Anolis sagrei: one gene and its partners. The protein of the gene in region 2 purifies or fractionates together with the protein of the main gene of each other region. This does not show direct contact. Links are inferred from orthologs where the notes say so. Each region holds a gene or a part of one and is shown on either strand. Other genes may lie near its edges.

Evidence for each region.
Region 1: the proteins of DERL2 (region 2) and FAF2 purify together in Homo sapiens (affinity purification with mass spectrometry; 5 studies listed by BioGRID and IntAct, counting the BioPlex papers as one, with this or other methods). This does not show direct contact. The link is inferred for Anolis sagrei from reciprocal best matches to the Homo sapiens genes DERL2 and FAF2.
Region 3: the proteins of DERL2 (region 2) and SELENOS purify together in Homo sapiens (affinity purification with western blotting; 3 studies listed by BioGRID and IntAct, with this or other methods). This does not show direct contact. The link is inferred for Anolis sagrei from reciprocal best matches to the Homo sapiens genes DERL2 and SELENOS.

Annotation. Positions count from the first base shown.
Region 1 is NC_090022.1:78,305,827-78,309,579, forward strand, and holds the start of FAF2 (FAS-associated factor 2), read right to left. Parts: upstream 2,423-3,753; 5' UTR 2,375-2,422; coding exon 2,312-2,374; intron 1-2,311. Other genes in the region: zinc finger protein ZFP2-like, read left to right, coding at 3,231-3,753. UniProt on the Homo sapiens protein: Plays an important role in endoplasmic reticulum-associated degradation (ERAD) that mediates ubiquitin-dependent degradation of misfolded endoplasmic reticulum proteins.
Region 2 is NC_090031.1:30,188,962-30,192,714, forward strand, and holds the start of DERL2 (derlin-2), read right to left. Parts: upstream 2,643-3,753; 5' UTR 2,618-2,642; coding exon 2,525-2,617; intron 1-2,524.
Region 3 is NC_090029.1:22,354,849-22,358,601, reverse strand, and holds the start of SELENOS (selenoprotein S), read right to left. Parts: upstream 2,854-3,753; 5' UTR 2,810-2,853; coding exon 2,731-2,809; intron 1-2,730. UniProt on the Homo sapiens protein: Involved in the degradation process of misfolded endoplasmic reticulum (ER) luminal proteins. Participates in the transfer of misfolded proteins from the ER to the cytosol, where they are destroyed by the proteasome in a ubiquitin-dependent manner.

The DNA of each region.
Region 1 (3,753 bases), on a different chromosome or scaffold from region 2:
GAAGAACTTCCTGACTGTAGAACTGTCCGGCAGTGGAACTCTCTGCCTCAGAGTGAGATGGAAGTTCCTACCTTGAAAGCTTTTAAACAGAGGCTGAATAGCCACCTGTCGGGTGGTGCTTTGATTGTGCTTTTCCTGCATGGCAGGGGTTGGACCTGATGGCCCATGTGGTCTATTCCAACTCTATGATTCTATGAAAATATCAAGGGGACAAACAGTTGGGGAATTGTTTTGAATATGTTGTTAGTTGCCCTGAATCTAATTACTGGGAGAAAAGAAGGATTTACATGAATAAAATGATGATAATGATAATAAAACCCCAGGCTGGCTACAGGGAGTACACAATTCCCTTGTTGCAACAGCTCCATTGGCTGCCACTTTCTTTGAGGGCACAATTCAATGTGCAGATCATGACCTATAAATCTCTATATGACTCAGGTCCAGGGTTTTGGAAAATTGCATCTCCCTGTATAAACTTGCCTGGGCCCTGAGATCCTCAAGAGAGACCCTTATCTGGTTGCCACCACCATTGCAAGCACAGTTGGTAGGAAGACGAGACAATGCTTTCTCTATGGCCTTCCCCTCAACTGCAGAACTCTCTGCACTGGGAAGCCAGAATGGTCCTTTCCTTGCTGTCCTTTTCATTCATGCTTTTACAGAAGGCATTTTTAAGCACTAGCTTGGGGAGCGATAGTTTAAGATTAAGGGAAGTCATGCTACCCTTCTATTCTGCCTTGGTCAGACATTACCTGAAATACTGTGTCCAATTCTAGGCATCGCAGTTTAAGGGAGATGTTGACAAACTGGAATGTGTCAAGAAGGTGACAAAATGATCAAAGGCCTGGAGAACAAGCCCTACGAGGAGTGGCTTAAAGAGGTGGGCATGTTTAGCCTGAGGAAGAGAAATGAGGAGACATGATGGCTGGTGGTGGCTCCTCGGCTGTGGAACGCCCTTCCTACGGACATTAGACTAGCACCATCTCTAATGGTATTCCGCAAAAAGGTGAAGACCTGGATGTTTGTGCAGGCGTTTAAGTAATTTAGTGCAATCTGGTAATGGAACATAGGAATGGAACAATGGACGACGAACCTGGACTACGCTTGGATGATGAGAAGATTGGGTACGGTTGTTTTTTGTAATAACTGTGCATTGTAATTGCTTATTGGTAATTTATGGATAATGTGTTAAGTCAATTGTTATATGTTGTATGGAACCACTGCTGTTTCTACTGTTTGTGAACCGCCGTGAGTCGCCTTCGGGCTTGAGATACAGCGGTATATAAGCAAAGTAAATAAATAAATAAATAAATGATGAGAGCCATGTATGAGAGCCAAATATGTGAGGGGAAGTCATAGGGAGAAGGGAGCAAGCTTGTTTTTTGCTGCCCTGATGACTAGGATGTGGAACAATGGCTTCAAACTACAGGAAAGGAGATTCCACCTGAACATGAAGAAGAACTTCCTGACTGTGAGAGCAGTGGAACTCTCTGCCCCAGAGTGTGGTGAGGGCTCCTTCTTTGGGGGCTTTTAAACAGACGCTAGGTGGCCATCTGTTGGGGTGCTTTGAATGTGATTTTCCTACTTCTTGGCAGGAGGTTGGACTGGATGGCCCACGTGGTCTCCTCCAACTCTATGATTCTATGGGGGTGGTCCTGTAGAATATTTGATTATTTTAGAAGTTTTCAGGTGATTGAAATTGATTTCTATATTTAATTCCATTTTAACATTTGTATGTTTGTGGGGATTAAATGGTATTGGGTTTTTTCAATGTTGTGAGCTGCTTTGTGTTTTGGTCAAGAGATAATAACACCCCTGGACTAAGAGATTCCTCCGCCAATGCAGCCTACTTGACTCATTTCCTGTTGAGGTGCTTACCAATCCCTACGTGCGATACAGTTGCTGCTATTGATGCCATAGTAAGAGGCAACGAAATCAGCTATTTTTCCGAACTTGTTTACCAGTCGAAGCAGCTCGATCGCAGCGGCAGGAGGATAGTGTTCCCCGCAAATCAACCCTGCCTAAGCTCTAGCGTGACTCCTGCGGGGAATGGTCCTAACCCCAGGGAGGGAGGGAGGGAGCCCCAGCCGATGGGTGGCTCCGCCTGCTCCCATGAAGCGGCCCCTCTCCCACACCGAGCCACCCGCGCTAGGCCCCGCCGCCGCCCCGCCTCCAGCCCCAAACTCAGGCCAAGCCGGCCCTGCTCCCCTCGGCCCCGCGGCGACTAAGGAAGCCCGGGACCTCGTCGGGCGGCTGGCTCGGCTCTCCCGCCCGCCCCCTGCCCGCCTCCGCCTTCCGCGCCCGGCGCCAACACCTGAAACTGAAGCAGCTTCTCCGTCTGCTCCGCCGACAGCTCCCGCTCCTCTGGAGCCGCCATTTTCCTGCCGCCTCTGACCCGCGATGGCGTCACTCGCCGGATGTGACGCGACAATTCGAAACTTCCGCTGGCTTCTACGCGCACGTGCCGAGGGGGCGGGGCGGAGGGGAGGAGACAACGAAGGGACATCTTCTTGGAGGGCGGGAAGCTGATCTCGGGGACTACAATTCCCAGAAGCCCCCGCGGTGAGAATGCCTCTCTCCATATACATACATGAATCAGCGTGGCAACCCGTGACAGGCATCCTATCTTTTCTGGAGGCTGTGCTTTCTAATCACGCCCGCTTTTGGTCGCTATTTGGAGAGATGACGCGGGATATAAATATAATAATGCCATGATAATAACAGCAACCACTTCCGGAGGAGGGAAGTGGGATTCCTCAATGACGGCGGAGAGGAGGAAGTAACCGGGTTGTTGTGAGTTTTCCGGGCAGTATGGCCGTGTTCCAGAAGCATTCCCTCCTGACGTTTCGCCTGTATCTGTGGCAGGCATCAACCCCTGAACGCGCCTTGTGAAGAAGACTCTGTGAGAGCTTTGTCCCAGGGATGCCTTAGGACTGAAATGGAGGCTCACTGCAGTGACACGAACAAGGAATAAGTAGGAGAGACATATTTCAAGCGACATACTTGGAGGAAAGGAAGGATTGTGCTGTTAAAAGAGGGCCTTGGGAAAGAAACCAGAAGACTAAGGCAATACAGATACAGAGAAGAGGAAAAGCAGTGCGGTTCGGGAGTTCATTTCTGTGAACCTCAGGCATAATATTTGAATTTTTTATATTGTGTAAATGCTATTTTAGACTGTAAGTCGCTCGGAGCGACTAAGAAATGAAGTGAAGTGAATTATAAATAAATAAAAAATGGAAAATTTCCATCCCTGTTCCACATCACATACAGAGGAGGAGCTACATAACTGTATGGACTGTGGGAAATGTTTCATGGGGAGTAGTTCTCTTACTGAACATCAAACTCATACAGGAGAGAAGAAACCATATACATGCGTGGAATGTGGAAAGAGCTTCAGTCAGAGTGTGCACCTGCGTCTCCATCAAAGGACCCACACAGGGGAGAAGCCGTATCAATGCACGGAATGTGGAAAGTGCTTCAGTCGGATTGACAGTCTGCATTCCCATGAAAAGACCCACACGGGCGAGAAGCCGTATCAATGCATAGAATGTGGAAAGAGCTTCAGTTGGAGTGATGGTCTGCATTCCCATCAAAGGATTCACACGGGGGAGAAGCCGTATCAATGCATGGAATGTGGAAAAAGCTTCAGTCGGAGTGACGGTCTGCATTCCCATCAAAGAACTCATACGGGGGAGAAGCCGTATCAATGCATGGAATGTGGAAAGAGCTTCAGTTGGAGTGGACAGCTGCGTTCCC
Region 2 (3,753 bases):
ACTTGGTAGCTGATTAAATGTCCTTTGACCAGTATCTGGCCACTTGGAGCGCTTCTGGTGTTGCTGCAAGAAGGTCCTCCATCGTGCATGTGGCAGGACTCAGGTTGCATTGCAGTTCTCCCTAATGTTCAGATGGAATCTCATTTCTGTAGTTTGAAGCCATTGTTTTGTGTCATAGTCTCACTGTAAAAGTTTGTTACACTTTTGCACCTTTACTTCAATCTCTAGCTTCTTGTAACCCATGTGAATGATCTCTGACAAAAGCTTGGAGTTCCACATTTTGGCGCCTTTGCGAACGAAAATTGTTTGAAATAGCAACCTTCTTCAAGCCTCCACTAGTTGTTTGTTATTGCTTACAATATTGTATATGTGTGTGTTGGTATGCAGTTTTCCTTAACTCTGTGTTGTGGGAGGGGCTGCTGACGATGTGATCAGACCTGGGACTATTCAGGACTCAGACTCCATTTTAGAAGGAGTATGCTTTTAGATGTCAGTAGAAACAGAATGCTTTAGGAAGAAGACAGAGGCTCCATTAGACTCTGAAACTTTAGACTTTGGGCTGTTAATCATTGAATCCTAGAGTTGGAAGAGACCTCATGGGCCATCCAGTCCAACCCCATTCTGCCAAGAAGCAGGAAAATAACATTCAAAGCACCCCCGACAGATGGCCATCCAGCCTCTGTTTAAAAACCTCCAAAGAAGGAGCCTCCACCACACTCCGGGGCAGAGAGTTCCACTGCTGAACGGCTCTCACAGTCAGGAAGTTCTTCCTGATGTTCAGATGGAATCTCCTTTCTTGTAGTTTGCAGCCATGGCTCCATGGGGTCCTAATAATAATAATAATAATAATAATAATCTTTATTTGTACCCCGCCACCATCTTCCCAATGGGGATTTGGAGCGGCTTACATGGGACCAAGCCCAAACAACAATTACAATAAAGAACAACCGAATGCAAACCGAAAACGCAAACAATAAACAACATCATAATTACATAAAACATATGAATATACAGCAATATAAAATTACAATAAACACAGTGACAATGGGTGGGCTACATGTAATGGTTAAAAGAACTAATTAAAACTGGTTAAAAACTCGAGTGAGATAAAAGAGAAACAAATTATTTGTGGAGGAGGGCTCATTATAGTGGGAGATGTGGAATCAAATTTTCCCACGAGGGGGGGACGGGGACGTATACTCCAGTAAGAGTCCTAGTCTCCAGGGCAGCAGAAAACAAGCTTGCTTGCTCCTCCTCCCTATAACATATTCCCCTCACATATTTATACATGGCCCTCATCATGTCTCCTCTCAGCCTCCTACTACAACTCCCATCACCCCCAATATGCAGATAAGCTTTGTAAGGAGGGGAATGGCTTAGGGAGAGGGAGGGAAGCCTTGATTCTGGTGCACATGCACTCTGGGCTGGGAAGGAATGGGTCCCCCTGCTCCTACTCCCACTCTCATCCCGCGGGGCCTACTATGTAAGTAGATCAATAGGTACTGCTCTGGTGGGCCATCCAGTGCAACCCCATTCTGCCAAGAAGCAGGAAAATTGCATTCAAAGCAACCCTGACAGATGGCCATCCAGCCTCTGTTTAAAAACCTCCAAAGAAGGAGCCCCCACCACATTCCAGGGCAGAGAGTTCCACTGCTGAACAGCTCTCACGGTCAGGAAGTTCTTCCTAATGTTCAGATGGAGTCTCCTTACTTGTAGTTCGAAGCCATTGTTCCATTGCGTCCTAGTCTCCAGGGAAGCAGAGAACAAATTCGCTCCCTCCTCCCTATGACTTCCTCTAACGTATTTAGATTCCAGGGCAGGGAGTTCCACTGCTGAACAGCTCTCACAGCCAGGAAGTTCTTCCTCATGTTCAGATGGAATCTCCTTTCTTGTAGTTTGAAGCCATTGCTCCATTCCGTCCTAGTCTCCAAGGCAGCAGAAAACAAGCTTGCTCCCTCCTCCCTAGGACTTCCCCTCACATATTTACACATGGCCCTCATCATGTCTCTTCTCAGCCTTCTCTTCTTCAGGCTAAACATGCCCAGCTCTTTAAGCCGCTCCTCATAGGGCTTGTTCTCCAGACCCTTCATCATTTGAGTCGCCCTCCTCTGGACACATTCCAGCTTGTCAACATCTCCCTTCAATTGTGGTGCCCAGAATTGTATTCCAGGTGTGGTCTATCATTATCATTATATTATTATTATTATTATTATTATTGTATCATAATAATCATTATTAATGTGTTGTTAATAGACTTTGGGCTGTTAAATGATCAAGGGTCTGGAGAACAAGCCCTATGAGGAGCGGCTTAAAGAGCTGGGCATGTTTAGCCTGAAGAAGAGAAAGCTGAGAGGAGGCGTTTGGAATCCTCTCTGTGAGGCCTGAGTGTACAATCCCCCCTCGATTTCTCTTCGAAGACCCCAACCGATTGCGGCCTAGCTTCCCCTCAGGCCTCCCTCCCCCCTCAGGCCTGCCTCCGCGCTTCCCTCCGCCCCCAATCCCTTTCCGGGCGCGACTCACGGACCACGGCGGCGGTGGTGAGGACGCAGGCGGTGGCGTAGGCCCGGGTGACCGGCGGAACCTGAAGGTACTCCTGGCGGAAAGTCTGGTACGCCATCTTGCCTGGCGTGGCCCCACCCTCCTCCGCCCGGCCAATCGGAGCCCGAAGCGTGTTCCCCTCCGTCTAGCCAATCCCAGCCCTCCGCTTCTCTCGCCCGGCCAATCAGAATCGCCTTTTGCTCGCCGGCGCCGCCAATCGCAGCCCTTCCCCGCCCCCTCGCCTCGCGCCGCCGCCCATTGGTTCCCTCTCTCCGCCAATGGGAGGCCTCCACCTCCGGATAGCTTTGGGTCTGGACCAATGGGAGCGCGGGATGGGCAGGAAAAAGAGGAGGAGGCGTGGCCAGGCGAGGTTTTCAAGAATGGGCGGGAACGCCGTTGCTTTCCATTCCGGTCAGGCCTGGTGGGAAGTCAGTCCTGTTTATATGTATAGCAGACGCAGGGATTGAAGGTTTGCCTCCTTTGGGGTAAGTCTGTACTTGATTCTGCATGTGTAGAGGATATGAGACAATAATAATAAAGGGTATAATTTCATTGTACATATGCACACATAGATATATACCCATAAATACATACATATATATGTATACAATTATATTATATATATACACAATATATATAATATGTGTAATGGTACAATGAAATGTGTAATTTCATTGTACATATACACACATATATGCCCAAATACATATATATATATGTGTGTGTGTGTGTGTGTATAAATATACACACACACACAAAATTATATTATATTATATTATGTTATATATATTCATGAGAGCCCCAAGTGGCGCAGTGGGTTAAAGCACTGAGCTGCTGAGCTTGTTGATCGAAAGGTCGCAGGCTCGATTCCGGGGAGCGGTGTGAGCTTCCGCTGTCAGCCCTAGCTTCTGCCAACCTAGCAGTTCGAAAACATGCAAATGTGAGTAGATCAATAGGTACCGCTCCGGCGGGAAGGTAAGGGCGCTCCATGCAGTCATGCCGGCCACATGACCTTGGAGGTGTCTACGGACAACACCGGCTCTTCGGCTTAGAAATGGAGATGAGCACCACACCCCAGAGTCAGACATGACTGGACTTAATGTCAGGAAACTACCTTTACCTTTACATATATATATATACACACACACAATTATATTATGTTATATATATTCATAATATATATAATGGTATAATTTCATTGTACATATACACACA
Region 3 (3,753 bases), on a different chromosome or scaffold from region 2:
AGAGAGCCCTGAATCCAGCCAATGACGCATCTGGATCAAGCTTGGCACACAGACCCAACATGGCCAACCGTGAATGCTGTCAAGGGTTTCGGGGTGCTGGGGTGGTGATTGCCCTGGGAATCGTAGTTCAGCCTTATCCAGAGAGCACAGAACCCAGCCAACAACAGATCTGTACCAAACTTTAGAGGCATTACCTAACATCCCGAAACAAACAATGCCTTCTTTTAATAACCCAGGCACCTCCGGGTTCCCAAGCTAGTGTGTGTATGTGTGTGTATGTGTTAAGCTTAGGATAACACTGGGAATGAGTGATACCCATGCGGAGATTCCTTTGCTGTCTGTGCTCCTGTTCAGGAGATTTCAGCTCACTTTCTGTCCCTGTGATAATTGGATTTTGAAGAATTTGGCTTGTTGTAAAAACAAGGATTGGTGATACAGTTTCAATGGAGACCCCTTTTCTCCATGATAACTCCTCTTTCAGGAGTGGGTTTCCCTTCTGAGGGGTATATTTCTCCCCCTGTTGTCTAAGCCCTGTTCTTAACTAGGAGTCATTTGTAAGTCCCATGTTTACAACTTGGGGGCGGCCTGACCTGCTAGCCACACCTATTTCTTATTTTCCACCAACTGGTTATGAAAGGGAGTTTCATGGATTCTTGATAGCAATCCTATTCCTGCTCTCCTGAGAAAGAAACACAGCTCATGTTTATTGGACAAGGACCTACATCAGTGTTTCTCAACCTCCCTAATGCTGTGACCCCTTAATACAGTTCCTTATGTTGTGGTGACCCCCAAACATACAATTATTTTTGTTGCTACTTCATATTTGTAATTTTGCTACTGTTATGAATCATAATGTAAATATCTGATGTGTAGGATGTATTTTCATTCACTGGACCAAATTTGGCACAAATACCCGATACGCCCAAATTTGAATACTGATGGGTTTGGGGGGGAATTGATTTTGTCATTTGGGAGTTGTAGTTGATGGGATGTATAGTTCACCTACAATCAAAGAGCATTCTCATAATGTAATATCTGATGTGTAGGATGTATTTTCATTCACTGGACCAAATTTGGCATACCAGATACGCCCAAATTTGAATACTGATGGGTTTGGGGAGGGATTGATTTTGTCATTTGGGAGTTGTGGTTGATGGGATGTATAGTTCACCTACAATCAGAGCATTCTGAACTCCACCAATGATGGAATTGAACCAAACTTGGGAAACAGAACACCCATGTCCAACAGAAAATACTGGAAGGGTTTGGTGGGTATTGACCTTGAATTTTGGAGTTGTAGTTCACCTACATCCAGAGAGCACTGTGGAGTCAAACAATTATGGATCTGGACCAAACTTGGCACGTATACTAAATATGCCCAAATGTAAACACTGGTGGATTTTGAGGGAAATAGACCATCACATTTGGACGTTGTGGTTCCTAGGATTTATAGTTCACCTACAATCAAAGAGCGTTCTGAACTCCACCAATGATAGAATTGGGACATACTTCCCACTCAGAACCCACATGACCAACAGAAAATACTATGTTTTCTGATGGTCATTGGCAACCCCTCTGACACCCCCTCATGACCCCCCCAGAGGTCCCGAGCCCCAGGTTGAGAAACACTGACCTACATAGAATTTAATAGGTCATAGAACAGCGCTGATCCTTCAATGTAGATCAGGCATGGGCAAACCTCAGCCCTTCGGGTATTTTGGACTTCAATTCCTGGCTGTTAGGACAGGCCCGTAGCCAGGATTTCGTTTCGGGGGGGGGGGGGGGGGGCTGAATTTTTTTTCAGGGGGGGTTTCGGGGGGGCTGAATTTCGGGGGGAGGGGGCTGAGTCTGAGTGAAAGAGGGTCTAGCCTAGCAAACCTTTTGTATCATTACCCCAATACCCCCATGCATATGGGATATATTGAGTATGGTGATCAGATCATGATATGAATAAACATAACAGTTTAAATAATCCACCATTAAGGCCTTTTTGCGAACCACCATGAAAATTTCGGGGGGGGGGGGGGCTGAAGCCCCCCGAGCCCCCCCCCCTGGCTACATGCCTGTGTTAGGAATTGTGGGAGTTGAAGTCCTAAACACCTGGAGGACCCAAGTTTGTCCATGCCTGATCTACACTGTAGTGACGCTTGATGCTTTTTAACTCCTGTCAGAATTGTAAACACAAGCAAAGACCTATCTTTCCCAGCCCATTTTAAACGATGGATTTCAAACGTCCATTCTCTTAGTACTGTATCTTAATGCAGAGATTATCAGCTTTCATATATGTATGATAATGCGTTTTAACTGAAAGGGAAAAGAAAGGGGTCTGAGGCTGTTAAGAATTGTAGGAGTTGCAGTCCAAAACACCTGGAGGGCCCAAGTTTGCCTCAGAACGAATCTTTCCCAAGGAAACACCACACAAGCTTCACCTTCAGAAGGCAAAAGGCTCTTAGGTGGTGTATTGTCGAAGGCTTTCATGGCCGGAATCACTGGGTTGTTGTAGGTTTTTTGGGGCTATAGGGCCATGTTCTAGAGGCATTCTCTCCTGACGTTTCGCCTGCATCTATGGCAAGCATCCTGCGGATGCTTGCCATAGATGCAGGCGAAACGTCAGGAGAGAATGCCTCTAGAACATGGCCCTATAGCCCCAAAAAACCTACAACAACCCAGCTCTTAGGCACTACCTCAAATTCTTCAGAGAAGAAGGCCGCCTCGGGCTGGGCGCCTCACCGGTTTGCTGAAGGACTTGGGCGCCTTCCTGCTCCAACGGCGGCTGCGCCCCGCCTTCAGGCCTCATATCCGCCGCCATCTTGCCGGACTTACATCCGGGTCCTCCCGCTGCCGAGTCACGGCTTCTTCACCAGCGAATGAGAAAGCGGGACGTCAGAATTCGTTTCCTCGTCCAATGAGAGGGGTAGGTATCCTTGAACCAATCATGTGGCGAGGAAGGGAAAAGAAGGCGGGAAGTGAGGAAGCAGGACCAATCAGAAGAAAGGGAGGTATTTAGATGACAAGGCTGAGTATTTAACAAGGGAGATTGTATGAGTAGGCGTCAATACCATAATGAGAATACCATAGTAGTGATTTTTATTTTTAAATATATATTAATAAGCTTGTTCCCTATCTGGATCCATAGGGAGAAGAAAAGGGAAATATAATAATAATAATTTAGGCATTAATAATAATAATAATAATGGACATGTGGACAATTTCAATAGAAAGGAAGAGACCATGAAAATAATATATATTATTTTTAAATATATATTAATAAGCTTGTTCCCTATCTGGATCCATAGGGAGAAGAAAAGGGAAATATAATAATAATAATTTAGGCATTAATAATAATAATAATAATGGACATGTGGACAATTTCAATAGAAAGGAAGAGACCATGAAAATAATATATATTATTTTTAAATATATATTAATAAGCTTGTTCCCTATCTGGATCCATAGGGAGAAGAAAAGGGAAATATAATAATAATAATTTAGGCATTAATAATAATAATAATAATAATAATGGACACGTGGACAATTACAACAGAAAGGAAGAGACCATGAAAATGAACAAAATCTGGCTACCAGTATTAATTAAACTCTAAAATTACAACAGCAAAACAGCAGAGAGGAAACAACCAGGCACATCTTAACACCTCTCAACAAAAGATTTTCCCAGGCTCAGCCAAGCCTTCAAATGCTAATGAAGGTGGTCAGTTGAAACATTCACACCTAGCTCCAGCAGAGAAGAGCTCT